Arabidopsis thaliana: one gene and its partners. The protein of the gene in region 3 interacts with the protein of the main gene of each other region in a pairwise test. Each region holds a gene or a part of one and is shown on either strand. Other genes may lie near its edges.

Evidence for each region.
Region 1: the proteins of AMT1;1 (region 3) and ACBP6 interact in a protein complementation assay, tested with the Arabidopsis thaliana proteins (one large-scale study listed by BioGRID).
Region 2: the proteins of AMT1;1 (region 3) and AT1G34640 interact in a protein complementation assay, tested with the Arabidopsis thaliana proteins (one large-scale study listed by BioGRID).
Region 4: the proteins of AMT1;1 (region 3) and AT1G21940 interact in a protein complementation assay, tested with the Arabidopsis thaliana proteins (one large-scale study listed by BioGRID).

The regions. Positions count from the first base shown.
Region 1 is NC_003070.9:11,408,793-11,416,463, forward strand, and holds ACBP6 (acyl-CoA-binding protein 6), read right to left. Parts: upstream 3,442-7,671; 5' UTR 3,308-3,441; coding exon 3,296-3,307; intron 2,843-3,295; coding exon 2,725-2,842; intron 2,621-2,724; coding exon 2,558-2,620; intron 2,426-2,557; coding exon 2,340-2,425; 3' UTR 1,974-2,339; downstream 1-1,973. Other genes in the region: FRL2 (FRIGIDA like 2), read right to left, coding at 4,193-5,614; NFD3 (Ribosomal L18p/L5e family protein), read right to left, coding at 6,140-6,972, 7,453-7,564. UniProt on the Arabidopsis thaliana protein: Binds medium- and long-chain acyl-CoA esters with very high affinity. May function as an intracellular carrier of acyl-CoA esters. Confers resistance to cold and freezing.
Region 2 is NC_003070.9:12,685,359-12,692,569, forward strand, and holds AT1G34640 (peptidase), read right to left. Parts: upstream 3,186-7,211; 5' UTR 3,070-3,185; coding exon 2,828-3,069; intron 2,439-2,827; coding exon 2,348-2,438; 3' UTR 2,194-2,347; downstream 1-2,193. Other genes in the region: AT1G34630 (uncharacterized protein), read left to right, coding at 1-245, 318-458, 573-800, 916-1,123, 1,249-1,385, 1,470-1,550, 1,644-1,710, 1,781-2,077.
Region 3 is NC_003075.7:7,854,957-7,863,167, reverse strand, and holds AMT1;1 (ammonium transporter 1;1), read right to left. Parts: upstream 4,986-8,211; 5' UTR 4,949-4,985; coding exon 3,443-4,948; 3' UTR 3,250-3,442; downstream 1-3,249. Other genes in the region: AT4G13500 (uncharacterized protein), read left to right, coding at 5,294-5,456, 5,521-5,590, 6,037-6,181. UniProt on the Arabidopsis thaliana protein: High affinity ammonium transporter probably involved in ammonium uptake from the soil, long-distance transport to the shoots and re-uptake of apoplastic ammonium that derives from photorespiration in shoots.
Region 4 is NC_003070.9:7,713,022-7,721,292, forward strand, and holds AT1G21940 (uncharacterized protein), read right to left. Parts: upstream 3,955-8,271; coding exon 3,795-3,954; intron 2,541-3,794; coding exon 2,149-2,540; downstream 1-2,148. Other genes in the region: AT1G21930 (uncharacterized protein), read left to right, coding at 445-494, 1,031-1,277.

The DNA of each region.
Region 1 (7,671 bases), on a different chromosome or scaffold from region 3:
TTATATAATTATATTATGATTGTTATTATATGTTTTTTTCCATAGCATACTATCCCATGTTATTATCCACTCAAACCCGTCACACCATATAACCCCGTCCCGTGAAATTAAACACAAATTTGTCATTTTATTATAAATTTCAAATATTTATAAAATTAGAAACTTCAAAAAAGATTAATATTGATCCAAACTTCATCATTGAATTTTGAGTGTTATATCTAAGATTTCTCTCGCAGTATATCGTCCCGTATTAATATCTTTTATATTGTTTAAATTTCTTGTAAAATTTAATTTATAATTTCTTAAACTTTTTAAAGTTTCAATTTTTTAAAATAAATAACCCTAGTAAACAAACCATTTAATCTTGGATACCTCATAAATCAAGTTTCATGATCATTCGTAATCGAAATCATTTTGGTCCTTTTTATAGTATGGCTTGACCATTGTCCAATTTTTTTAAGCGATGTGGGACATTCTAAAATCGTAATTATTATCCACCCAAACCCGTCCTACCATATAACCCAGTCCCGTGAAATTAAACATAATTTTGTCATTTTCTTATAAATTTCAATATTATAAAATTTGAAACTTACAAAAATACAATATCGACCCAAAAATCATCATTGAATTTTGATTGTTATATTGAAGATTTTTCCTGTAATATATCGTCTCGTATTAATATATTTTTATATATTTATAATGTTTAAATTTCTTGTAAAATTCAATTTATAATTTTTAAAACTTTATAAGTTTTAAAATTATAAATATTTAAAGCATTTTTTAAAGATAAACTTTATAAAAAGTTTTTAAAATTATAATATTTAACTTTTGATAAAGTTATAATATTTATAATTTCTTGAAACATTTTAAAGTTTCAATTCTTTAAAATAAAAAATCCGAGTAAAATCGGATAACTATTTTAATTTTAGACGCCTGATAAATCAAGCTTCCTGCTCATTCGTAATCAGAATCATTTTGGTCCTTTTATAATATGGGTCTGAACTATTGTCCAATTTTTCTAAGCGATGTGGGACATTGTACACATATTATTTCTTCATAGGTTGAATAATATATTTCCGTTTTAAAAAATTTGAATTACATCATATTCAGAAAAAATATAATATTTTATTAACTATATATATTTTATATAAATTCAAAATAAATAAAGTATAAGATCAAATAAAAATGAAAGAAGAATTATATATTTATGTTTAAATTAGGTAGAAATATTTTAGGAAATTAGTTAAGGTAAATAAGAAATATGGTTAGTTTAGAGATATTGTTTATATTATGTAATTAAATCATTAATTTCGTTTTTAATTATTATTTTTTAGGTAACTTTTCCAAAAATTAATGTTATCCAAGATCAGAACAGAATTAAACATGTTATCCAGGATCCGAATAGAGTTAAATCGGGTAAAACCCACCCATTTGAATTAATTGTTGAATTATGGTTCACATCTTCAACATTATCTTCAAAAACCTCCTACAAAAATGTATATATAGATTAATTATTTCACTTATATTAAAATATATAAAAGAATTTGTTATGTTAAAGTGCATATACTATATATTTATATCGTTTAATTTTCAATTGAAAAACACAATGCATTTAATATAAAAATTCTAGATGTATAATTTTGATAAAGAGATTATCATAATACTAAATATTAGTATGTTCAACATACAATTAATTATTTTAATATTCTACAATATTATTTAATTTCTTGAATCACGGTTAAGAGATTATCATTAAGGGAAGGAAGTTAATCTACAATCAATAAAAAATAAAAGTAATTATGATCAACTCAATAAAAAAACTATTGTTTTTGTCATCTACCAAATTATAAACCTCAAATTTGTAGACACTTTAAAACTAAACGTCTATTTATTTACGAATTTGACTTTAAATAAACCACATACAATTTGAACAATTCTGCCAATGTTCGAGACGAAAAAAATAAATAAAAAATCTGCCACGTTCTTTTTTTTTCCAGCTTTTGTCTTATGTACTCCAAATTGAAATAAAACGAAAGTTTTCTAGTGAGTGGTGAATGCGATGGACCATGAAGAAAAAGACCTACGGACCAGAACGAATATATCATCTTGAATTCAACTGTTTTAACTAAGACCATATCGAGGACGGACCAAAAATAACTTATGGATTTAGTTTGCATCATGATTCTCTGTTTTAACCAATATCAAGCATTTTTAAGAGATCACACCATGTCACAAAGTAGATAGCTTAAATATGATAGAAACACAAGAGCAAGAACAAGTCTTATGCAATGTTATTTTGATGCTTAAGATAAAGTTACTGCAGATGAGGATTTGATTCATCAGGTTGAAGCCTTGGAAGCAGCAACTTCCAAGAGTTGCTTGACCTTAGTGATATAGTCATTCATGGCTTCTTCCGATGATTTCCCTGACATCATAAACAAAGAAAAGTTCAAATTCAATTCCCCAAGCACAAAAAATTGTTGAACTTGAGACAAGAATCCAAATTACAAACAAATCACTAAGCTAAAAAAGTTGATCACTTGAATTGTTTTTGTACCTTCAACAGCCTTCCAAGCATCCCACTTGGCTCTCTCCTTCATGCTGAACATTCCAGGACGACCTTTGAATCAATCAATAAACAAATACACATTATTAACAACATTACAGAAAAGTGAACTAAGAAGCAAAAATAGAGGATGTTAATATTCAGACAAAAATATTAACTGGTGTCCACAGGCCCAAACTTGGCTTGCTTGTAGAGTCCGTAGAGAATGAGCAAATCCTCGTTGGATGGCAACTCCGTGAGCGTATTCACTTTCTCAGCGTGCTCCTCAAATTCCTCCTGCAGATATATAAATCAGTGAAACAACAAATTCGAAGAAAAGATTCTTAATAGCCTAATACACCATCAAACATATTACTACTTAAAATTCTCAATCGGGATACAATAATCAAACAAAACTCAATAAAACCAAACCTAGCTCAGATTCAAAACTATATTACCCATCAGCAAACAGTGTTTAACAAATCAGTTATAAGAACAGTAAATGGACAAAATCATACAGAGAAAAAGCGTGATCAGTAATAATTCAATTCCATAAAGTGATCATTCTTGACTATACAAGCTTCAATTTCGTAACTATAAGGAACCTATATATCTGCAAATCTGGATCAAACAAGGCTACCAACACAGAAAATATAGAATTCAGGAATGGTGAACACAAACAAAACTAAGATCCGAGTAGTAATAAACCGAAACCGAGATCGGTTTGGTTCATTTTGGATCTGAACGTACCTTCAAACCCATGATGAATAGACGTCGGAAGTTGAGATTGGTAGGAGAATTAAATCAGTGTAAGACGGAGAAGACGAGGACAACGCGTGAGATATATATGGGCGTCATGATAAACCTCTCAGGCCCATAAGCCATAACTATTAAATATTTTCTTTAAAGGAAATAAATATTTTTAGAGATAGATACTGTATACGTGGATTCAGACACCCCGTTGATTGGCTTATTCTGATCAGTATGGGTACAACTGTAAAACAAAGAACATGTTCTGTTTTTTCTTTTTTTTGCTCATCGAACATGTTCCTTCTCCATTGAAATGACAATATTAATTTTCTGTTCCATCAGAAAAACCATAAGCATATCCTTTTGTAAACTTAAATAGTTTAATGAAAAAAAAACTATTTCTGTTTCTGTGCTAGTTGAATATTATCCTTTGGATCATTTTAGATATCCAGACACGTAGATTTCTTCCCACTACAACAAATCAAACCAAAAGGGATCTTTGGTGATTATAAGAAAAAAGGGAGGAAATCTTGGAAGATTACCTAACAAATCAAGGAATATAAATGTTAGATCAAAACCATAAAGACCATTCCTCCACAAGTAAACTAAACTAAATTAAAAAGAGGTTAAGGTTAGGTTATAAAACTGTACAATCAAGGCAAAATCCTCTATAGTCGCTTCACCAGGTAAACAAAAAAAGAAAAAACGGATCAATTTGCTCTTATGTTATCCCCCAAACAGCGACTATATCAAGTGTTATCTATGTCAAAACTCTCGAAATTTACTTGATATTCATTACTGAACATCAAAAACACATAGAGAGCATAGACCTGTTCGAGCAGAAATCTTCTCAATATCGCTTGCATTCCTATAATAAATCTTACCAATAGAGAGATGCTACTGAGGATAGTACGGTGGGCGGTACTGAGGTGGTGGCATCCCATAACCAGTTTGCTGCACATAAAAGACGGGTCGAGAAGCTGGAGCTGGAACCGAGCCAAATAGAGCCCTTGGGTTGCCATATGGGACAGCAACACCAGGAAGTATTGAGCTTAAAAGACCATATGGGTTCACTTGTAAAATCTGACTAGGAGTAGGCAAAAGTGGTGGTTGTTGTTGCGGCCTCAGAGGTGGGATTGTCAAATTATATTCCATACTTGAACCATTAGCAACTCGAGGACGCTTATTATCGACCTTTTGTTCTTGTGGTTGTTGGGGATTAGCAGGTGAATTGAACTTAGTGGCACGCTTCCTCTGAGCTTTCTGATCCTCCAACTCCTTAACACATTCTTCGAGTTTCTCTTCCATGAACTCGGACTCGATGTTTTTCTCTTTCACGACTTTGATAACTGCTCTCAAAGCACTTAGTTCTTTATCAGTAGCTTCGTTCTGCACCTTAAGAGAGTAATTCCCTTCAGCACAAACTCTCTTAGCAGCTTCTCTAGAGTTCTTCAAACTAGTTTTCAAAATCGAAACTGGTTCAAATTCACCCACCATCTCATTCTCGTAAATGAATCTAATAGCAACAAGTAATCTCCCAGTATCCAAAAACTTCTGAACGAGAACTCCTATTCGATTTCTATCTAAACCAATCTTCTTGCAGATCGTTGTTGCTTGTTTATACTTAGAGATCAAGAAAATGTAATCACAAATCTCCTCAGTACTAAATAAAGACCCTAATTCAAAAGCTGCAACCAAATGCAAAAACCCTAACGCTTCTGATGGTTTGTTACCTATATTTGGTTTCCAATCATAAGCAATAGTCCTAGCTCTTTCTCTCAAATCATTCGTGAGATTCGCATTGATCTCAATCAAAGCTTCTAATAACAAAACGAAGATCCTCTTCACATCGATCGCTCTCGCCGAGGAAGACGACGATGGTGATGAGCAATGGTAAGAACCTTCGATTGCATCTAGAACCAAAGGTGCTGGATTCTCTGAGCATCGAATCGCATTAGGAAGCTCTTCATTGATAGATAAACGCTTCCTCGAATTCTCAATCATGTAGTTACCCAAACCTTTTCCATCATTCTTCTCACAAAACTTTCTCAATTCCGGCCAAAGGACTGGTGTCTCCGTCGTAACCGCCGTGGGAGTTTCGATATTACCGGAATTGGAACTAGTCACGGCTGATTGGAGGCGGTTAAACAATGAAGACTGGAGAGAAGAAAAGTGAGAGTCAATCTCAGACCATGAGAGGTTAAAAGATGGTGAAAGGAGAGATCGATGAGCTTGAAGATCATCGAAAGCTTTCTTCAATTTTTGTTTCTTCTCATCAATTTGATTAATCGATGCGGCGATTGATTCCGCCGCCGTCATAATCTGAACCCTAGGTTTATTAAATTGCTTTGCTCCGCCGTATCGGAATCTCAATCTCTGAGACCGAGAGAGCGATTTATTTCCAAATCAATCACTACTTTAAAAAAAACTTTATTGCTTATATATGTGAACAGAATTTGACAAGGCTTAAGATTCCGGTTAATGAATCAAATCCCTTTGGTCCAATTATCTAAACCAGATTTTCCTCAATCTATCGACTCACTTCCTGAGACCAAGAGAGCGATTTATTTCCAAAGCAAAATAACTATTTTTGAATAACTTTATTGCTTCTATATTTGACAGGCTTATATGGTCTGGGATTAAAATGTCAAATTTTCTATTGGGTCAAAACAGGAAAACAATTCCGGTTTATTAATCAAATCGCTTTGGTCCAATTATCTAAACCCGATTTTCCTCGGATTTGAAGGAGAAAACATAACCAAGAAAAGATATAACTTGCCAAAACAAATGGTTTCTATAGTGACCATAGAATAACAAGAGACGACGACATGGGACGTTTTCTTTTCACACCCGACGTTTCCTTGGTAATCTGCAACCATTATGAGCTTTCCTAGTAGTGTCCTCGATGTAGACTATCGGATTCTGATCAGACCTCGAGTTGGTGAAACCGTCTCTAAACGCGATAATAGCTTTCTTCTTCTTTCCGAAATGCGTAAATCCGTTCACCTTAACCACCACAGATTTCAGCCCCATAGCCTTAGCTCTTCTCCCAATGTTTTCAGCGGTTGCATCAGCTGTGTAATTCGTCATCTTCCTTCCACCTTTCAGATCGGGTAAACTACCAGATGTAGCTTTGCATTTGACGTTTCCTTTGGAATCTGTAACCGTGACAAAAGTGTTGTTCCTCAACATCTTGATGTGAATGATGTCAGCATTCGTTTCGAGGTTTGGGCGTTGGAAATGAGAGAATATCCCTGCGGTTCTCCTTCCTTCATCTTCTATTACTTCTCTAACAAAATCCAGGTCGCTTGACTTCCCTCCACTGCGGGAATTCTCCTTAAGAAGCGAAGAAGATTGAGTGAAATTCTCGTAGCTTGATAAACTTGGAGCAGAGAATCCGCTTCCTCCCGTGTTTGGTAAGCCTGGATTCGTCTGACCGAACTGATCAGGTAGAGAGTTTGGTAATCTTGATCTCAGTGAACTTTTGAAGGTAGGAGGAGCATTAGGAGCCGAGAAACCATTGACTCCTCTGTTTAACAAGCCTGCTTTCATATCACCAAAAGTTCTCAAAGTCGAAGGATTAGGCTCCGGAGAGGAACCGATTCTTCCCGTGTTTGATAAGCCTGAATTATTTGCAGACTCTCCAGAAACTGGCACTTGCTCTCTGAATCTCCCTCCTGTTCAAGAAGAATCCACGAAATAAATAATCAATCAATACAGATACATTATAATTCCCTCCTTGCATATAGCCTAAGCTGCTCCAAAGAAATGTTTTCCAGATTCATGATTTGTAGATATCTCGTTACCAATTGCAATAATTGCCTAATTTCTGAATACAGCAAATTGTTAAAGAGCCATAAGAAGCTGATCCTTGAGACTAATTGATTCAAATCCTCGTTCTGTACTTCTAGGCAAAGGTTAGAATCCTGAACAATACCTAATAACGAAATTACACATTTTCATGGAGGACAACATCACTTGACGATAGTGGAAAACTTAAACGCCAAATCCAAAATATTGATTGTACAACTCAAATGCATAAATCAGATCAAACCCAGAAGAAAATTGTTCTCGATTCAATCATAGTTCTGGGTCATAACTCAAAATTGAAGAAGCAAAATATGGATCGGGAGAGATAAAAATGGGAAATGACGAACCAGAGAAGCCATCAGATTGAGACGAAAATCGACAGACCGAATTGATTCCACCATAGCTGCGAATTAATGAAAGAAGTGAAGAAGCTCGAAGATGACGAGAGACACCATTCATTTTCTTCTCGAAGCAAATTTTGGGGGTTTAGGGTTTTTTCTTCTTTCAAACATTTGTGAGCATCTCGATCACATCGTACATAAACGGTAGATCTACAAATGAATTTT
Region 2 (7,211 bases), on a different chromosome or scaffold from region 3:
TCATGCATCTCCAGCGACAACGATGGCAACGATTTCGGTAAATCGGATGAGTTTACATGCAAACAATGCAAAAACTCCGATTCGAAATCGAAATCAAAATCGGTGAATGATTCGGATAAGCTTCGAAGAATCATCGTCGCTTCCGTCAAAGGATTCACTATAGGTACTGGTTTAAAAGGTGGTTTAGCTATTTTCTCAATCGTCGCTCGTTTCGCTCGTCGTCGTAGATCTTCTCCTCAATCTAGGTAACCGAAATCGATTTTTCAAATTTTCCGGTTTAGCTCATCTGATCTGAAATCTAATCGTAGTCGGTTTAGGAAAACCGGAGAGTTTTCGAATAGTGAAGCTATCGCTATGGGGATTAAGGAGACGTTAAGATATGGATTGTTCTTAGGAACTTTTGCTGGGACTTTTGTTTCTGTAGATGAAGCTATTGCTGCTTTAGCAGGAGACAAGAGGCATGTTTGTCCCCACTAATCTTGTAACTTTTATTTTGTGATTTAAACCCAAAAATAGTGAAGTATCAATTTCTTCAGATTTGATCACTGTGAAGTAATTTAATCTGAATCCAGAACTGCAAAATGGAGGGCCCTGTTTGCTGGATTGGTGGCTGGACCATCTATGCTTCTCACAGGGCCAAATACGCAACATACGAGTTTGGCTGTTTATATATTGATGCGTGCTGCGGTTCTCGCATCGCGTTGCGGTATTAAAAGTAAACGCTTTGGTACCATTTGCAAGCCACTTACTTGGAAACATGGAGATTTATTCCTCATGTGTCTCTCTTCCTCACAGATTTTGTATGCTTTCTCTTTCTCTCTACAAAGATATTAAATTTTGTGGTTCAGCTAGTTGTTACTAGGTTCTTGGTTGTTATTAGATTCTTAGATTAGCGATTTTGTGTTTTTTTTTCAGGTCTGCTTACATTTTGAAACAAGAAAGCCTTCCTTCATCGTACAAGTCTTTCCTTAACAAACAAGGTGGGAAGGATCTTTCAATCTTACAAGGCGTAAAAGATATCGCAACCGCGCAACCGTTCACTAATTTAAGAGCGATTGAGAAATATTACAAGTCTGTTGGAGTTGATATCAAACTGGATCCTACCATGAAAGTCCCCTGTACGGTAAGTTTTCTATGATACTATCTTTTTTGGGTTGTTAAGACGAACAAAGCATTTGTCGATAGTTGATGTATCGTCAATGAGTCTGCATGCATGGTTTTACGCAATACTTATGTTGTTACTTGCAGATAATACATGGAAATGAGTCATGTGTTAAGCATGGTGTTACATTTTTCCTTCAAGCTTACAAGAGGGCGTTACCTGTCTATGTCCCTGTGTATTTGATTCCAGCGCTAATAGTCCATCGTCAAGACCTGCTAAAAAAGTAATAGGTTTATGTCTAAACTGCTCATTGAATGGTATATATCCTCTGATTTTATTCATCACCTCATAATATGTTTCATCACAGGCAATACTCTATACTTGGCAAGGGTCTTCTGGGCACAGCGAGATCAAGTTTGTTTCTCGCTACTTACTGCTCTTCTGCCTGGTTAGAATCAATTCTTGGAAGGCTCTTATCGATTTTTGTTTTGTTCTCACTTGAAGTTGGAACTTAGACCATCTCTATAATGATGTAAAATAGGGCTTGGACTTGTCTACTATTCCGCACTTTTGAGACATGCAACATACCGCTTGTGGCCATAGCAACAGTACAAACGAAAGCCATTCTCATCACATATCATTGTTAATATAATACCTAACGTTAGGCTTCTCCTGCAGTTCCCAACAGGTCTGGCTTTAGCTATTGAGAAGAAAAGCAGAAGGATAGAGATATCACTATACTGCTTAGCGAGGGCGATAGAGAGCTTCTTTACTTGCATGACAGAGGCAGGATACATTCGACCGCCCAAGAGTTTAAGAAGAGCGGATGTGGTTGTGTTCAGCGTTTCGACAGCCATTATAATGCATTGTTACGCACAAGAAAGAGACGTATTTCGATCAAAATACTTGAACGTACTAGATTGGGTCTTCGGTGTTCCTCCTCCCCCTCCTGCTCCTTCTTGCGAAACAACCTAGAGACATTCACTTTTAACCTAAAGATCTTTCTGATGTGGGACAGAATTTGGTGGTAGAATGCTCATTTAGAGTCTCTAGGAGTTTTGTTTTGGGTCAATTTTGTATACCACAATCCATTTGACAATTTTTGTCCATCTTATGTGGACACACCAATATGTAATCTGGTAGTCTTACATGTTCTACAAAGTTAAAATAAAACGAAGCTAAATATTTTGTTAATCAACAACACTAAACCATAAAAAAGATGGACCAAGTAAATACAATATGGCTTCAATAATTTGATACGAACATCCACCACCTATACACTGCATATCCATAGACCGTGCCGTATAAAACCATCCTCATAGGGTACACTCTAAACCTGCATTACTTGGTCCAAAGATGTATCCATTATCCATTAATTAGGCCAGTAAACCAAACCAAAATTTGGATCTAACAATTAAAATCAATAGAAAATATTCACGAAAATAAACAAATTCAATCATAACTTGTACACCTAATTCGTAGATATACAATAATACATACATTGCAAATGGAACCTAACATTGTATGTATGGTTTGAGATTCGCTCTTTTGAATCCAAATTAATATCGGTTGACAAAAAAAAAATTGTATGTATGATTTATGTTTATCCAATAGGTTTTAAGGCAATAAAGCTAAACCAAAATTTAGATCTAATAATTCAAAGATTAATATATAATGATATGATAAAACAACTAGTTTGATATTGAGATAAGATAAACAAGTAACCTTGAAGGATGAGATTTGCGGGCGAGAGCGGCTGATCTTTCCTCGGCGGTGACAGGATAGCCCCACCGAGAGAAACTCCGATCAAAGAAGTCCCAATCCGGCAAAAGTATGCCGCCAATAAGAGAAATACCGACGGCGTAAGTAACAACCGTCTTCTTTAAAGACTGTGTCCATAACCATACAACTACCATCACCACTGCAAGACCTACCATTGATGATCTTAGTGCTGCTTCGTTTCCCATTATGGCTAAGAGAGAGTAGATAGCTTATATTTAAAACGGGATTAGTTGAAGTTGCTTTATAACAGTGTAAACATGGAAAGAAGATTCACAGATTATGTAGGATGTAGGAGAAAGATTTCATTTATGTGTTAAAGATAATATTTAATGGATTTTTTTATATAGGGTATATTCTTTTGGAAAAATGCGTGGCAATCAATTGAATTGAATGCCGCCATAAATGTGGTAATGTCCCAACCGTATTTTTGGATCCAAGTTTTTGTGTTTGTTCAGTTTTATCTTTATTTATGGTTTTGATCATAGAGTAATTAGAATTATACCGAAAAATTAGGAAAAAAAAGATAAATTTTGGAATGACAAGAAGGAATTCACAAACTTTTCTTTATTTTTAATTTTTTGTAGTGTAAATGTAAAAACGGATAATTTGGTATGAAAGAATTATACCGAATTGCATCATACCATATATATAAACAATATCTCTCGGATTAACTCTTTGAATTCTAATTAATATCGGTTGCCAAAAAAAATTTGTAGAATAAAATGACATAATCATCAAGCGGGACAGAAATTATTTTTAACTTTCACAAGCATAAGATTATATGAGTACGTTGTACTTTAAACATAAGACAACAAAAAAATCTTATCATATTTTTGAGGTAAAAAAAATTATAAAATTGACCAAACAATGTGTTATACATATGAAATTTACTATTTATTATTTATTTGTTATCTCATTTAATATTATGTTATAATTTTAAATTGATAAACTTAAATTTTGAATCCTCAATATTTAATTAACTTTACCAATCAAACTCTACATCTACAACCAACACATGTAATCATACAACAAAAAGTTTATAGCTACTGCCGAACAACAGTAAAAAGGAAAGTTACTACTCAACCAAACACCCACATAATTGGTTACTAACATAAATTTTGTTTTGATAGTTGGCATCGTTAGTAATAACCTCAAACTTTTCTTTTCTTTTCGCCAAAAAGTAATAACCTCAAACTACGAATGTCGTTTTGTAAATGAAGATTTCTAATTTTTTCCTATAAATGTGAAAACAAAGTAAATACTCTTTTTCATTGATAGTATATTAGTATCTAAAGCATTAATCTTACAAAGGTTGTTAGATCTATATAAATTCAGAAACAATTTTTTAAAATCCGAAGCCACAAAACTACGCATTGACAAAGGACAAGTTTAAGTCCCTTGGTAGAAACAAATGACGTCGACTATTTCTATTGTTAAATAGCGACGAGATTAAGCCCTCATATATATGCGGCTAAATAGCAACACCATGTTTCTTTTACACATGTTTTTCTATGAACTTGCTACAAAAGTTCATGAGAAAGTGTGGTCACATCTTAATAATATCTATTCCTCGGTAACTATTTTAGTCTATATCTACTAACCAATATTTGAATATTTTCTCAGTAACAAAGTAAAATATAATACTGATTCCCCCAATGGTACTGTGATGCCACATTGCTAAACACTCAATTAAGTTTGGTTTTGATACCCCTTATAACATCATGATCGCCAATGTTTATTTACCATCAATTACAGTTTTGACCTACAAATCTCATCCTCGTTATTCGACCAGTGCACTTCTACATGTAAGGTTGATAGACTTGTTTACTAGTCTTGTTGATCATCACAAGATATTTTTATGTGTTTTGTGAATTCTTGCACAATACTAAAAATCACAATCTTTATATTGCTTCGCGTGTGGGATCAAACCTAACGATAAGATCAAGAAATTTGTTCCAAACCTCTCGTAAAGACACAAACAAGACACAATGAGAACTCTGGAAGCTCTACACTAGCTAGGAATCTGAGTTTGTAAGAACAACAGATCATCATATTTTTTGAAAATCATTTAAGTCGACTAGACCTGGGTAATAATATCACTTAATCCCTTCTCAATTATTTTGGATGCATCTTCAACATTTTGTTTTTGATAAATTCGAATCATATATGCAGAAAAAACAATTTAAATACAAATGATAAGATGATTTAGCTCTTAAAAATGACCAAAGAAACAAACAAAGATGAGAAGAAGAAATTTTGATTCTCATTATATCTTTTTAATTAAAAAATAAAATTTTATTTAGTAATGCATAATGTTTTACAAAAATATATTGGGTGGCTTTTAATTTTTGAGGAATACTGAGGAACTATCACCTAATTAATTTTGTATAAATAATTTATCAAGTAATTAAAAAACATTATTCTACGGAACCATTGAATATTTGAAATTTAGTATCTTTTATTTATTATTACTATATTTCCATTAAAATTTATTTTTTATTATACTCTAGATTTAAAGCTATATGTGTTATACATTAGCTCGTTATAAACATCGATGGTTGTGAATTTAAAATACTAAGCCAACACCTGCACAAGGTATGAGTATATTCATATAATTTGTTAGTTATAACAAATAACATCGATTGAATTAATTTGGTAAAACATATTTTGTATTTTATCGAATTATCATTTTAATGTATTTCTCTAACTCTCAAGTAAATAATTCATTCTATTTTTTAATGTTTTTAATTACATTAATAAACCTTATTTACAATTACTTACCTTTAAAACAATTGTTGTCTTTAAAGTATTTTTAAAATAAACGAAATTAAACTAGTGTCAATTTAGTATCTTATATAAATAAACCATAAATTCAACTAATATTTATTGTCACTAATCCTATATATATTATACTATATAAAACCATGAAATAAATTCTTATATCATATTATTTATGCATAAGTTTATACGACTTATACAACTAAATTTAAATAATTTAATTTATATACAAGTTTGATATACTTTGTACTTAATTAAAATAAATTTATTCAATTAATAAGTTAAAACATGTCAATTTGTATGCAAGAAAGAATTAATGCATGATTTTTAATTCTTAAATTAATTAATAAATATAATTAAGGGTATATGCACTAGATGACTATGAAATTCATAATATTATAGAAACTAACCATGGGCGTATAGTACCTGTCGGAAACCAACTTTAAATTACTCTCATATCCCTATAATAGAGTTTTGGTTGAAGGGACAAATAGCTTTATAGGCAAATAGTTTTACCACTAAAGCTTCCATAACCTCCTCATCCCTTACAACAATAACCACCACTAGATCCGTAACACCACCGCCTCCTCCGTATTTAGTATTACTAGATCTGTAAATACTACCGCCTCCGTATTCACCACCATCATATCCATAACACCACCGCCTCTTCCCTATTCATCACCACCGCCGTTTACTTTTGTTGACATGTATTTTTATTCTAAAACATTGTATTTTTCAAAGTTTCTTTTAAATAATACTTGTTCTTTACTAAAATTACAATGATCCGTGTGTCTCAATTCAAACGATAGCATGTAATTTTTGAATAATTCATGCTATTTTTCTATTTGATATGTATATTTTCCTAAAACGTTTGTATTTTTTGATAAGATAATATTTTTTTAAAGATAATGTGCATTTTACTAATAATCCATATTTTTACTAAAATCACAAGTAAGTTACTGATTCATGATTCATGTTTTTTTTATAATCACATGCAAATTTGTACAATCACATGTAATCTATAAATAACACATATGTGGTTTGCTTATCTCTGTTGAAACCCATTTACCATATTGTCAAAACAATAAACCTACGTTCTAATATAATAAAAATAAATAGCATGTCCTTAAATATCTTATGCAACATTTCTATACTCAATCACAACTGTTTCTAAATGGCTATTTTTTAACTAAATTTTCTTTTACGTATACATTTTTAAGGTATAAGAGATATTGCGTGTGATTTTAATAAGTAGTGGTCTAATATTGCATGATTTTTAAGAAGTAGCGGTGTAATCATTACTTTCTATTGTCTTTTGTTCCCTACATGTAGCAGCTATTGTCGAAAAGAAAGAGTTTCTCTCATCTATAAAAGGTAAAATAGTTATTTCGCAGGCTCAAAAAAGGTTATTTATCCAACTTTTCTGCACGAAGGCTATTTTCTTAATAATGCTGTCAAATTTGGTCATCCTCTAATATTACCCTATAATTAATATATCGATGTGACACATGTCTCTCATGATTTTTAATTCTTAAATAAATTAAATTAA
Region 3 (8,211 bases):
CAATATCTTTAGAGGGATCCCATCTTTTGATTAAGATATTCGATAGCATGTTTACAAATAAAAGTAATGTTTTTATAATGTCTCTCCAAATATGTGGTCTTCTCGTGATTAATTCTATGAAACTATTAAGTTCATGGGTAGGTAGGGTTGCTTCAAAGTAAATGACGTTCGTGGTTACTTTTTGAAAGTAATTAATGTATGTGGGATCATTTTCTGGTACCTTAGTATCTTTATGAGGACATGTATGATTCACCGAAGAAATTTAAATAACTTCTCCCATTTTTTCACCTTTTCACTAAAGAGTAAAGAGTGATATACTTTGATTCGTTCTTGTATATAATAAAGTTTGAAACAGTTCTAATCGAAAAAAAAAAATCTTCAATCAAATAGTTAGAATCTATGACGAAGTCGGACTCTAGAATAAAATTATTTAGAATCTATAGGTCAGCCAAGTTTTTTTTTAGTTTGAAGGTGAAAATGGAATTGTTTTCACATTAATCATTGGAATATTGGAAGCATATGATACATTGAATATATTTATTCGAACAAAAAGTCAAATCAACAAGGAAAAATCAAAGTCGTGAAAGTCTTACGGTTTTGTTTCTAGCTGTACGGTAACGTATAGTTATTAATTATAGCCACTAATATTGACTATGCCATTTTAGTATCATTATTGTTTTGCGCAACTTCTTTTCAACTTCAGAATCTGTAGCAACAATAAATGAATTATGAATATTACAGTTGGAGTGAGTCTTTCTAGATGGAGTATTGTTTTATCTTTGCATATAATAGTGTTATGTTATGTTCTTACACAAATTTGAACATGCGGAACAATTTTGCATCTAGATTCTTTATTTAGGTATTGATAAAGAGATACAAAGGTCCAAATTGCACTTTTAGAGACGTCAAAAACTTGGTAAAATCTCTTCTTTCTGACTTCTAAAATACCAAAATTACCCATAAGAACTCATGTATGTACGGAATTACCATTTATGATACTGACAACGATATCACGGGCTCCAACGAAATTGTGATCTCTTTTGTGCGAATCTTATCTTTCTTATTAGTAAAATATTAGGATACACGTCGAATCTTGCGGTGTGGCAACGTGGTACGTATCTCCAAAGTTGTTCGTTCGGTTATCTAAATAATGTTGAATCAAATAAACATTGCATGTAATGACAAGAAGATTCCTGTTCGGTTGGTTCAAAGTTTGTAAAACGCCAAGTTCTGCTGCAACTTTCCAGCATTGAAAATTCCAATAATATATGACAACACAGAATTATTTCTATAAATCATTATAAAATTTTCGTGAAGACATGTTAGGGAAATACGGAGAAAGAGGGGGTGGTTGAGGCTCACACATGAACCAAGCCGTTGTCATCTCGATTATTTTCTTCCGAGTAGATAATGATTATCAATTTAGATTAAATTTTTTTAAGAAATGAAAAGTGAGCATTTTAAATTTTTTTATCTTTGATTTGTTAATGATGATGAATTGTAAAATTTAAGAATAATTACTATTGCTTTAGGGTAAAAAATTGTTAATCACAAAAAGTGATGCATTTATAATCAGATTTTTGTAATTTTGTTTTATTATGTGAAAACTGAAAAGTTTAATACGATTAGACTAATTACAAACAGATATATTACTTTCTTTTTTTAGTTTGACAAGTTTTTAGTTTGTTGTTGTATAAGTAATATGGTCACACTAGCTAATTTTTTTTTTTCGTCGATCACACATTCACACTAGCTAATTAAACAGTTACATGACTCACCTATAGCAAAGTACATGTAGCCTGTTAAATGATTAGTATAAGTTAAGTTTATAAAACAAGTGACTCGCCTGTCGCCAAAAGTTCAAAAACATATTTAACCCAAACGTGTAATGATAATCATAACCTAGTAATACTAAAGAAAATGTTACAATTAGAAAAAATATTAAAATGGTCAAGACTATTTAATTATTTAACGTTCAAATGTTTGGAATTATTTATTAATTATTTCATCTGTTGAGTATATTCATTGAGAATAGAAGCAACAAATATTAAATTCTAAAAAATAATAAAGTAAGATACACAGAATAAAATTTAGGAAAGCAATAAATAACCGAGTAGAAATCATAAAGCAATTGAAACTGCAAAATCAAAACAGTCAAATATATTCTTCAAAATGTTGAAATGTGTGTACCTAATTATGTAAAATTTCCATGCAATTTGTTTCCGAGTACCGGAGCCATCTGGTCAACTTTTTCATTTAGTGTGTATCTATCAAATCAAAGTGCTGGCCATTAAGTTCCTTAAAACTTGTAAAAGAGATTGAAAAAAAAAAAAAAATACAAATAAATATACTAATTGATTGGCTTCTTCACCTTTTGATATTTAAAAATGCCAATTTTTTAATTTGGAGGTAAAGACAAAATATCTTCTTTCCAACTTGTAGGAGCTGCCTCATCACTCATGTCATGCTTCCATCTTTTTGAAAAGCACCCAAATACCCTGACTTTTTTTACATATGTACGAAGTTGCCATTTAGTGGTATCGACAACATTATCACGAGTTCCAACTTTCAAGTAATTCGCGATCTACTTTGTGAATCCATTTGTTAATATAATAACTGTGATACTCCGAATCTTTAGTTGCGGCAACAAGGTACGTACGAATCTCCAAAATCGTTGAGTTTAAATAACACTAATATAATAAACACATTATTTCATGTGGTGGACAAATGAAATTAGAGATTCGTGAATAGGTTGGTTGAAAGTTTGTAAAAACACACTTTTTCAAAATAAAATAAAACAGAGTTTGTAAAAACACACTTTATCAAATTAAAACAAAAAAGAGTTTGTAAAAGCACCTACTTCTGCTGAAACTTCAAACTTGCAAGCATCTAAAAGTCTAATTAGTGATGTAAGACATAGAAATTATTTCCATAAATTATTATTTATTTGCATCAGACATGAAAGATTGTCATTTCTGATTATTATGCTTGAGTAAATGGTTCAACTTCGTTTTACCAAATTGTTAATGCTTCTAGAAAGCAATACTTCGAGTTATTTATATCTATTGCGTCAATGCAAGGTTTGTTTTAGACTTTTTAGCTATTTAAAGCAATAAGTATGAACTAATATCAAAAAAGTATGAGCTATATCAAAAGTCCAAACTTAAAAACGGTCAGGCTTTTACTTAGTCCATGCTTCACATTCCTAATTGCTTATCTAGAATGCAGCAAATAATGATCATAAAATTTGAAAAAAGCGTTATAGAAAAAACTCCAAAGAGAACACAAATGACCACATAGATATTATCATCACAACCCCATGAAACTGTACATCTAAAACATTACTGAAATGCAAAAAAATATCCAAAACAATATTTAAGTATCACAAAACATCATTTAAAATAATACTCTAGAAAATAGAGAATAAAAGTAAAAATCCAAATCAAACCGGAGTAGGTGTAGTATTAGCACCAGAAGGAGAAGGAGATCGTGGCTCAACTCTCCTAAGCTGAATGGCTTTGTGAGACTCATCATCATCAAAGTACATATAAGCAAAACCACCGTGCCTGGTCATATCCATACCGGCCATCTCATCCTCGGACGATATCCGCAACAATTTCATTTTCTTGAGGATGAAGAAAAGTGTCCCCATGGTCGCACTTACCCAACCCGTGATCACAATGATCTGAATCAGCTGAGCTCCAAGTAGTTTTCCTCCACCGCCCATAAACAAACCGTGTGGCCTTCCGGGTTTGTTGCCGTAAATCTGGTTCAAGTACTTTTCTTGAGCGAAGAGAGCCGTGAATATTAGTCCCCACGCACCGCAACCACCGTGTAGTTGTGCTGCCTCAAGAGGGTCGTCGTATTTGAGCTTCTCAGCGAGCTTGTTGCATCCGAGGAGGACTAGGGCCGCCACGAACCCGCAGATGATCGCAGCCCATGGCTCAACGACAGAGCAGCCACCAGTTATGGCTGCAAACCCTCCGAGGAGGCCGTTGCATACATCAGTGACGTTCCAATGTCCCGAGAGTAGACGTTTCCCAAATAGGGTTGTCAGCGCCGCGGTGCAGCCAGCTAACGTTGTTGTGACAGCTGTCCGTCCGACCGCGCTCCACTGGCCGTTGTATGTGCCTGTCTCGTACGTGACTAGGATCTTGTTGAAGGAACCGGGGTTAAATCCGTACCATCCAAACCAGAGGAGGAATGTTCCAAGGACAACAAGTGACGCCGAGTGGCCACGAAGAGCGATGGCACGGCCTCCGTTATCGAACCGGCCAAGTCGTGGACCTTCGATGAGCGCACCCCAGAGTCCAGCGATACCTCCGACCATATGAACAACACCGGACCCAGCGAAATCTATCGCTCCGGTGCTGAAAAGCAAATCTCCATCGGTACGGAACGGGCTGGCCCATCCATCAACTGACCAGAACCAGTGAGAGACGACCGGGTAAACAAACCCGGTTAAGAAAGAGGAATAGATTAGGTAAGCCACGAACTGTGTCCGTTCAGCGATCGAGCCACTTGTGATTCCAGCCGCAGCGATTGCAAAGGCCCATTGGTAGAGAAAGTTGGAGTAGTCAGCAGAGGCCGTGGGGATGTCTTTGAGACCAAAGTAGTGTTTACCGATGAAACCATTGGACGGAGATCCAAAGGCAAAGGCGTAGCCAAACAGATAATAGAAGAGACCACCGGCTGCAGCGTCAAGGACGTTGGTAAGCATGATGTTCATAGTATTCTTGGCTCTCACGGAACCGGCACAGAGCATAGCGAAGCCAAGCTGCATAGAGAAGACAAGGTAGGCGGAGAAGAGAAGGTAAGTGTTGTCTATAGCGAAAGCGGTGTCGATAAATTTGTTGTTGACGTCGCCTAACTGGCCACAGATGTAGTTGGCCGCCGCCGTGGCATTAGGACCCAACAGGACAGCGAGATCGGTGGCCGAGCAAGACATGTTGAGAGTTTAGAGAAGAAGATGAAACAGAGAGGCTGAGAAAGAAAGTGTTTTGTTTCTCTGTTTATATAAAAGAAGGAAGCTAAAGGCCTAGGGTTGACTTTTCAATCCTGACGAAAAATATTCGTAACGCATAATACAAAGTCTTTAAGTTTTGTTTATTAGTACATACATGTGAATAAAAAATAAATAAGGAATGTAAATGTATCAGGCTTCAGCTAATATATCGGTGAAGATAAGATCTGTGTGTTCAGAAAAAAATATTCTATCACATCCAAATGTATAAGTGAATAACAGAAAAATAAAATGTAAAAATATTCTATCACATCCATATAGTTGTTGGAAATGGCAGCGAAATTTCGAATTTCTTCTTCTTCGTTTAGCCACAGGGCTAGTGATTCCTCAACTTCATCATCTTCTTCATATTCATCATTGCTTGCTTTACCTCAATTCTTTTGTCCACCATCACCATTAGGATTCCCAGAATTCAAGCTTCATGCCAAATTAGGTACTCTTATATCTTTTATTTGTTTGTAGATGTAAATTTTGTTAATCTTTGGTTATTGCATAAGGTGGAGGAGATGGAGAAGTGAAGCCTAAAGATAAGAAAAAGTTTATAACCAAAGAGGAAGAACCTGAACAGTAAGTTAATCTTAATTCTCAATTTTCATCATGAGATTGTAGAAAATAACAGAAACTCATAGAATGGTAATGTAATTTTGCAAAATCACAGAAAAACAAACCTAGGAAATTGATGAAAACATGGAAAATTACAAAACGATATGTAGGTTACCAATTTAATACAAAAATTTTAGTCTCCATTGCAGAATTTAAGTAGTTTTTTTTTTTGTATGTGTCAATGACATGTAGACTGGTGGTTTGTGACATTGTGTTAGTATTGTATCAATATCCAGACTCAAATCCGTGTTAGCAAAAGAATAAAAATATTTGGGTTGTAGTTTAGTCAAAAGAACTAAACTCTTTTAAAATAGAAAAAGAACTTAAATTCTTGCATGTTCATTTTTCATAAACATGCAATTGTGATTGAAGAAATGGTTATGGATGAGGATTGCATTGGAATTTTGTAGGTATTGGCAAAGCGTTGGAGAAAGAGAAGGAGAGAATCCGATGAAGACGCCTCTTCCTTACATTATCATATTCGGTATGTCAACTCCATTCGTCATCTTAGCCATTGCTTTTGCCAATGGTTGGATCAAAGTTCCCATTCGTTGAGCCTTTCTTTTTGTTTTTTCTTCACTTGTTTAAGGCTGAATCTTAAACATGTTTCTTATACTCTTCTTCTTCGGCTGTAAAAAAGAACAAATTAATAGAATGCTATCACTATATTATATGGTGCTTTGCTATACTACATGTCTTCATTACAAGCAAATGTATAAACAAATATTAGTCATCTCTTCATCATTAGTGATATGTTTGGTCTTGTCAAGAAGAATGAGAATTAGAGACAACACAAAGTAGTGACATAGAGCCTAGTTGGCACATTAAGCAGAGACTTGAAATCATCTAGAAGACTTTTCAAATTACAGCCTGACGAAAAATATTCGTAACGCAAATTGCAAAGTCTTTAAGTTTTTGTTTGTAAGTACATGTGAATAGAAAATAAATAAGAATAATAATAATAAAAAGGAATGTAAAAAATGTATCAGCTAATATATCGGTGAAGATAAGATATGTGTGTTCTTAAAAAAGTATTCTATCACATCCAAATATATAAGTGAATAACAGAAAAATATATATAGTATTGAGACTGAAATTCCTTGTTTTTATTGTTTTCTTGGTTAGGCGAAATTTCTTACTATCTCTTTTGAACATTAAAAAGTGTCAATTTGACAAGATATTCTTTTGTTTTCAAAAGTAAGTCTTAGATTTGAGTATTAATATATTATAAATTACGTACTTACAAAACTATGTTTGCATTTAGCATATTTCGAATTCATTTATAAGATATTAATTGATAATTTCTGTGATATCTCAACCAGGTTGTTGTTGGTATATCTTAATTGACTAATTGAGAGTGAGCATAATATCCACATACCACATGCTATAAAGTTAATGTTTCTTTTCCGTTAAATTATCTTTTCTATTTATATAATATAAAATTTTCACAAAGTAGTTTTCCTAAAACATGTTTGGAAATTCATCAAGTTAAAAAGTAACTATATGATAGAACCAAGCATAAAAAATTGATCAAGAGATATTTAGATTCCAAGATTGGGGAATAGAGGCAACAATGTACAGTTTACTTTTGGTCTTGATGAAGGCGTCAACGAGCATATAGTACTCTTGATTTCCAAGCTAGATGCAGTTGATCTACCGCGATTTGTGATGGGGCTTGAATTACAAATTTATTCACCCTTATAGCAGATCTTTCATCGAGTAAATATCAAAATATTTGCGGACAACTGAATCCGATAAAGGCTTATGTGAATATTGCAAGTGAACATGACAATGTTCTTGTTCAATCCGATCAAAGTGTAGACATCAATTTTATTGAGTTTAATTTATAAATGACGAGGGTCATAAGACATCTTAACTCAAAGGATTTGGAGACTAAGCTCAAGTTTCGGGATTGAAGAACTTATTTGATGAGAGGCTTCTCTTTTGGTGAATTCAATACCAATGGCATGAGCATATTGAAGGGATGCTCTTTCACGACTCTTTAAAATATCTTAAAAAGTAGATATGAAAAAGAAGAAATTGAGAGAAAAGTCATATAGAGAGAAGAAAATTAGAAGTATATACAAAAAAAATCGATAAAAACTGTAAAGAAATCGAAGAGGATATAAAATTTCTCGACGTCGACGAACTAAAACTCTATCGATACCGAAAATTAGTCTTTGAAGTGGTATTTCAATAATATTGCATGAAAGTGTTTTACCAGTATCATCACTAAAAACAATAAGTGTATGTTTTTAAAAATATATACTATACCTTTTTTTTTCTTTATATCATCGATGTCGAGATATATCTCGATTCTTAGGTTGTTAACTCTACAAAACAAATATTCGTAATTAAATTCTAGCGAAAAAAAATCCACAAAAAATGGAACTTTAATCGCTTGACCAAAAATATTTCTCCATACAAACTAAATAATTCGTACACATGTTTTACTATATTTAATCAGACATCTAGTTAATGATACTGCAGAATTTTTTTTACAAATTCATGAAACTGATTACTTTAAAATTTAGAAGAAGCTGATTTAAACATGTTATTTTCTGTATATAAATATTGGGTATTAA
Region 4 (8,271 bases), on a different chromosome or scaffold from region 3:
TGATAGTTTTTGGCTGCAATTTTGAATCTTTATTCTGACTATGTGAGGAATTTGATTTTGTTATCGTTGTCGTTGTTTCGTCTTAGGATTTGTGAGAATCATTGAACAATTTTTCAACTTTGACAATTAATAACACGAGAGGAGCTTCAGATTTATGTGTTTGAGTATTCAAAGATATAGCTTTTATATTTGCCTTTCTGGGTTTCATGGAGATGAATCTGTATACTTATAGCTCATTAATTAGTCAACTCTGTTGTTGCTTCTGGTTTGACATTGTATTGAGTAGTCAAAGATTTGAGCTTTCTAACTCCACATGAAGATATAGCGTGTTTACATTTCATTTGTGAAAAGTACTTCAGTCCATTTGGGTTTCTATCTGGTTTAGAAGATATTTCTGGTGAAAACTTTATTTGGGCATTGCTTCTTTTCAGTGACTGATCAAAGATGGGAAGTCAGGAGAATGTGAAACACCTCGAGGAATGCACTGTTTCCAAGTTAGTTTCTTACTGCATCAATAATGTTTGATTGTTTGCTAATCATTAGAAAGAGTAAGGAACACATATTCAGTCTTTGTTTCTTCACTGTGATATCGAAATTTATCAGTAAGTCATTAGTTATGTAGCCACTTTTAGTTGTTTTCACTTGTTCACACCATCATGCTTTTCATTTGGAAAAAATAAGTAACCTTGGAATATAACCACGGTTGTTGTTTGATACGTCTTGCTTGTTAAAACACTTGAGTGTTGAAAGGTTCAGTTCCTCTGGTGTATAAAGTGTTTTCTTCTTGATATCGATTTTTTGTGATCTAGGATCATAGTTTTGTCATTGAGTCATGAGGTATGTAGCCCACTCTTAGTAAATTTCACTTGTTCATACCATCATGCTAGCCACTACATTGCTTGGCATAAAGAAGTAGCCGCAGTATCCAACATTTGTATCTAGTATCTTCTAATATAAAACACAGTATGATTGTTGTTCTCGAAATCAAAACATCCTAAAGTGAAATTTTCGATCTTTTTTGTGGGTGCAGTGCATTAGGGACATGGGTATTCTCAGTCCTAGGCGCATTGGTTGCAATCCCGGTAGGCATCAAACGCAAGTCTCTTGGGCCACTCGTGTTCTTTGGCACAACCGGAACAATGCTCGACATCATCATTGGTGTAAGTCAATGCGAGAGAGAACACGCAGAACACCAAATGAAGTTACTCCAAGACTCTCAAAATGCCACAACAACAACCACCAACACAGAGACTGAAGAAAGCTCTTCCATGTCCTAATCTTTTTTACATCTTTCTCACTAAGACTTTGATGTAATTTGATGCCACTCACAAGTTAAACTTGTTTTAAGATATTGTGATTATCCCATGTATCTTGAGAAAACAAAGAAGAAAGCTTTTCATGATTACAACTGATTCATTGACATTGTCATCTCCACCAAGAAATTGCAACACACGAAGCAATAGAATTTAATACGATAATATATCTGAAACTGTTACGAGCAATGTATATGAATCGATAAATCTTGGACTCCAATATCAAATGGTATTCAAAAACTAAAAAGGTTCAAAGTGAAAACTTTTATCAACAAACTCTTGTTCAAACTAATGAAACAAAGAAAGATTATTATAACGATAAACGATGAATCTCACTAAAACGACGGCGTTCCAAGTCGAAAGCAGAGGGAATGTTGAAAGTTAAACTTGATTTTGAATAAGTTTAATTATTGGATCAATTATCCAATAATTAATTATGGCCAAATCCAAGTTCTAGAGTTTTCTCTAGAAATATCATCATTTCCACCTCCTTAAAAGATTCTAGAAATTTTCTAGAATCATCTTCCACCTCCTTAAACATAAAAATCTAGATACTCTAATAGAATAATCTAGATAATTTGAATAATGTAATCTAAATCTTATGTAAGAACTCTCTAGACTTAGGATTAAAATATTTTAGATATTTTGTAGTTTGGAGGCTATAAATACCTCCTCCCCCTCTCAAATGTTGCAATGTTGTGAAGTTATCTTCAAGTTTAAAGCAAAGTAATAAAAGTTATATTTCCTAAAAAACTCTCTCAAAACACTTAAACACTTTCTCCATTACCTCTAAAAGAATTTTACTCTAACAGGGAAGATTCCGGCGAACACAAACTCATCCGACGACGAAGAACCGAAGATAAGCGGAGAAGCAGAGCGAAATCGCTAGGCAGATAGAACCCAACGTAAGTTTCATGTCCGTCTCTTCTCGTAGTCTACGCATCACCACCGGCGCAAACGTGAGTCCAAGCATCGATAAACCGATTCTGATAATCACCACCATAAAGCACATATCGGCCATCTTGTTCAGCTCTGATGCACAGTATAACGCCACGTGTCCGTTCTTCGTCGTCTCCGTTAGATATGAACCGTCGAAACCAGAAGCTCGTTTGCAGATTCCGGTGAAAATGGCGAGCGAAACTGCAAGAAAGAAACGATCGTTTACACGACGAGTTTCTTCTCTTCTCTCACGACCTCCATCTTCGTCATCCATTGCGATCTCGTAGTCTTGCAGGAGAAAATGGAGATTTTGAAACGATGATTGATGAAAAAATCAGAATCCGGGAAAAAGTGAGAAAATTTGTCTCTGAGAGGTTTTGGAGTTTGTTAAAGAGGGAAAGAAGAAGGGTTTATAACCTAACCATGGTTAAAATTTTAACCATGGACCATAGTTTATTTTTTAACCTTGCTTTTTCTCTAACCATGGTTTATAATCCGTACGTGTTGAAAAAGTTTCAAGGAGAGAGGTGATGACTGATGATATTGAGTGGACGAAGGACTTACCTCTTTTGGTCACTGTTAAAAATTGGTTTCTTGAATTACTGGTTACAAAATTTCGTTCGTTGCTGAACCGGAAATTGACAATTTTGGTTACACAGAATTGGGACCAAAAATATCTGCATGGTTTAGTATTTGATCATATAACTACCTATAAAAAGACTAGAAATATTTTATATTGTTAGATAATTGTGAAATTTTGAACAAAAAAAAATGTTAAGGGTTAAATATGGTCTTTTTTACTAAGTTTTATTCATCGGTTTTTCTAAAATGTTACTACTTTGGGTAAACAAAAGTTAAAGCAGTTGCCTGATTACGACACGTTGAACAATGGATTGATCTTATGTAAATTTAATTGATAAAAAAACAGTTCATGACTGCATTTTGCAGCTAATTCCTTAAACATTTTGAGCTAAAATTTGAAACTATCATCAAGAACATGAAGTAATTAGTCTTAATCCGATATCATAAACGGTTCACACACACATCGATTTCTTTGTAAAACTAATTATTGTATTCAGGGATGCGATCCGAAACTTTAACGCATTTTTATCTATGCAAATACAGTATGAAGTGATAAATATTGCAAGTTGTAACTACAATATCAATTAATATTCAGAAAATCTTGTTTAAACCTTTTATTCAAGAAACCAAAATGTTCACAACACAAATCCAAAGAAATAAACGAAAAGCAGATACAGAGCATCCGCGATGGTCTCACTGAACGATCACAGGTCCAAATATTCAAACCTCTAATCAAAGAAACCATAATGTTCAAAACAACAAACCCATCAAAGAAAGAAAAAAACGAAAACTAGATTGTAGATAGAAAGAGAGATGATAAATGTAAGCATCGTCGATGGTCTCACTAAAAGACACAGGTCCATAGTAACGGTGGAAGAAACTCAAGACACACCACTCACCCGGTGACGGAGCAGCGAAGGTACGCTAAGAAAGCAATCGTGAGGACGACAAAAATCAAACCCACGAGCAGCTGCACGTCACACTCTTCTCGTACTTTTCTCATCTGTTCCAGTTCCACCACCATCGGAGCAACAATGATCTTGAGAATCACAAGCATAAAAGCAAGATGCGCCCACAAGTTGAACTCCATCGCCCAAGAATACGCCACGTGTCCGGTCATCGTCGGGTTTGGATCTGAGCCAGCAGCTGCTCTTTTGCAGACTCTTGTGGACAGTTCAAGCAACACTGCGACGACAAAACGACCGTTCAATCTACGAAGCTCTTCACGTCCCTGTCACGATTCTCTTCACGTGGCTCAACAACTCCTTCCATGGCGAGAGATTCTTGCAGGAGAAAAGAAAAACAAGATTTTGAGACGAAGATTGTGAAAATGAAAACAGATTCGGGAGAGAAAATCTATATAATAAGGGTTTTTGGAGTTTATAAGCATAAAATGTTTCTTTTATTTAAATTAACCACGGTTAAAGTTTGACCGTGGACCATGGTTAATTGGTTATAGTAATCGTACGTTTTCTAACGGGACGTGAGTCTTGATGACTGTGTTGAAAGTTAAACTTGATTTTGAATCAAGTTTAATTATTGGATCAATTATCCAATAATTAATTATGGCCAAATTCAAGTTTTAGAATTTTCTCTAGAAATATCATCATTTCCACCTCCTTAAAAGATTCTAGAAATTTTGTAGAATCATCTTCCACCTCCTTAAACATAAAAATCTAGATACTCTAATAGAATAATCTAGATAATTTGAATAATGTAATCTAGATCTTATATAAGAACTCTCTAGACTTACGATTAAAATATTTTAGATATTTTGTAGTTTGGAGGCTATAAATACCTCCTCCTCCTCTCAAATGTTGCAATGTTGTGAAGTTGTCTTCAAGTTTAAAGCAAAGTAATTAAAGTTCTATTTCCAAAAAAACTCTCTCAAAACACTTAAACACTTTCTCCATTACCTCTAAAATAATTTTACTCTAACAAAGTGGTAGCAGAACTTGAAGATCCTAAAGATGGCGAGTAACAATGTTCCCTTCCAAGTCCCGGTGCTCACAAAGAGCAACTATGATAATTGGAGTCTACAAATGAAGGCTATCCTAGGAGCACATGACGTGTGGGAGATAGTCGAGAAAGGTTTCATTGAACCGGAGAATGAAGGTAGTCTTTCTCAAACTCAAAAGGATGGTTTGAGAGACTCAAGAAAGAGAGACAAGAAAGCTCTCTGTCTAATCTATCAAGGATTAGATGAAGATACGTTCGAGAAGGTCGTTGAAGCTACGTCGGCGAAAGAAGCATGGGAGAAGCTTCGAACCTCTTACAAAGGTGTCGATCAAGTCAAGAAAGTACGTCTTCAAACTCTAAGAGGAGAATTTGAAGCACTACAAATGAAGGAAGGTGAACTCGTCTCCGACTACTTCTCAAGAGTGTTGACGGTTACTAATAACCTTAAAAGAAACGGAGAGAAGCTAGATGATGTGAGAATCATGGAGAAAGTTCTTAGATCATTGGATCTAAAATTTGAGCATATTGTCACCGTCATTGAAGAAACAAAAGATTTAGAAGCTATGACAATAGAGCAACTTCTTGGGTCATTACAAGCTTATGAAGAAAAGAAGAAGAAGAAAGAAGATATCGTCGAACAAGTCCTCAATATGCGAATTACAAAAGAAGAAAACGGCCAAAGTTACCAAAGAAGAGGTGGTGGTGAAGTACGAGGACGAGGTCGTGGTGGATATGGAAATGGACGTGGTTGGAGGCCACATGAAGACAACACAAACCAAAGAGGTGAAAACTCATCAAGAGGTCGTGGGAAAGGACACCCAAAATCAAGATACGATAAATCAAGTGTCAAATGCTACAATTGTGGGAAGTTTGGACATTAGGCTTCTGAATGTAAAGCTCCTAGCAACAAAAAATTTGAGGAGAAGGCCAACTACGTTGAAGAAAAAATTCAAGAAGAAGACATGTTATTAATGGCTAGCTACAAGAAAGATGAACAAGAAGAGAATCATAAGTGGTACCTCGATAGTGGTGCAAGTAATCACATGTGCGGGAGAAAAAGTATGTTCGCGGAGCTTGATGAATCGGTGAGAGGAAATGTGGCTTTAGGAGATGAATCGAAGATGGAGGTAAAAGGTAAAGGAAACATTCTCATTCGATTGAAGAATGGAGATCATCAATTTATATCCAACGTTTACTATATTCCGAGCATGAAGACAAACATCTTGAGCCTTGGACAACTCTTAGAGAAAGGTTATGATATTAGATTAAAAGATAATAACCTTTCAATAAGAGACCAAGAAAGCAATCTCATTACCAAGGTGCCAATGTCGAAAAATAGAATGTTTGTCCTCAACATTCGAAATGACATTGCACAATGTCTCAAGATGTGTTACAAAGAGGAGTCTTGGCTATGGCATCTTCGATTCGGACATCTAAATTTTGGAGGATTGGAGTTGCTTTCAAGGAAGGAAATGGTGAGAGGGCTACCTTGTATAAATCATCCAAATCAAGTGTGTGAAGGATGTCTACTTGGAAAGCAATTCAAAATGAGCTTTCCAAAGGAGTCAAGTTCAAGAGCTCAAAAACCGTTGGAGCTAATACATACCGATGTGTGTGGTCCGATCAAGCCGAAATCACTTGGTAAAAGTAATTACTTCCTTCTCTCAAATGTATAACTCCCCAGGAATTTCAATTGCGCTTATATTCATCCCATTCTAAAACAATTAGATGATGATAAAATTAACAAAGATTGGGACTCCTAATCGAAAAGGGATATTTAATTAGGTTCCATAAAAAAAAAAAAAGGCTTGAAAAAGAACCTTCTCCACTTTATTCTTAAAAAGCCTCATGCTTATTCGAAAGCTTTGTTGTTTTTAGGATCTGGATCCATTATTCATTCTTGATTGATGATTTTTCAAGAAAAACATGGGTATATTTTTTGAAAGAAAAATCCGAGGTGTTCAAAATTTTCAAAAAGTTTAAAGCCCATGTTGAGAAGGAGAGTGGTCTTGTGATCAAAACCATGAGATCCGACCGTGGAGGAGAATTTACATCCAAGGAGTTTCTTAAGTATTGTGAAGACAACGGCATTCGAAGACAATTAACGGTGCCAAGATCCCCTCAACAAAATGGTGTAGCAGAAAGAAAGAATAGAACAATTCTTGAGATGGCAAGGAGCATGCTCAAAAGTAAGAGACTACCAAAAGAGTTGTGGGCGGAAGCGGTCGCGTGTGCGGTTTATCTATTAAATCGATCTCCAACAAAAAGTGTCTCCGGAAAAACACCACAAGAAGCTTGGAGCGGAAGAAAGCCCGGTGTTTCTCATTTAAGAGTCTTTGGAAGTATTGCTCATGCTCATGTACCGGATGAGAAGCGGAGCAAACTAGATGACAAAAGTGAGAAGTATATCTTCATTGGTTATGATAACAACTCCAAAGGCTACAAGCTCTATAATCCCGATACGAAGAAGACAATTATTAGTCGAAATATAGTGTTCGATGAAGAAGGAGAATGGGATTGGAACTCAAATGAAGAAGATTATAACTTCTTTCCACATTTTGAAGAAGATGAGCCGGAGCCAACAAGAGAGGAGCCACCAAGTGAAGAGCCTACTACACGACCAACTTCACTAACAAGTTCTCAAATAGAAGAAAGTTCGAGTGAAAGGACTCCGCGTTTTAGAAGTATACAAGAGCTCTATGAGGTAACCGAAAATCAAGAAAACCTTACCTTATTTTGTTTATTTGCGGAGTGCGAACCCATGGATTTCCAAGAAGCCATTGAAAAGAAGACTTGGAGAAATGCCATGGATGAAGAGATCAAATCAATACAAAAGAATGACACATGGGAGTTAACTTCACTTCCAAATGGACACAAGGCAATTGGCGTGAAGTGGGTGTATAAAGCAAAGAAAAACTCTAAAGGAGAAGTGGAAAGATACAAAGCAAGATTGGTTGCAAAAGGTTATAGTCAAAGAGCCGGAATTGACTATGACGAGGTATTTGCTCCCGTTGCTCGTCTAGAAACGGTTAGACTAATCATCTCACTAGCGGCTCAAAACAAGTGGAAGATACATCAAATGGATTTCAAGTTGGCCTTCTTAAATGGAGATTTTGAAGAAGAAGTTTACATTGAGCAACCACAAGGCTACATAGTCAAAGGTGAAGAAGACAAAGTCTTGAGGCTAAAAAAGGCGCTTTATGGATTAAAACAAGCCCCAAGAGCTTGGAATACTCGAATTGACAAGTATTTCAAGGAGAAAGATTTCATCAAGTGTCCATATGAGCATGCACTCTATATCAAAATTCAAAAAGAAGATATATTGATCGCATGCTTATATGTAGATGATTTGATATTCACGGGTAACAATCCAAGCATGTTCGAAGAATTCAAGAAAGAGATGACGAAGGAGTTCGAGATGACGGACATTGGATTGATGTCTTACTATCTCGGAATTGAAGTAAAACAAGAAGACAAT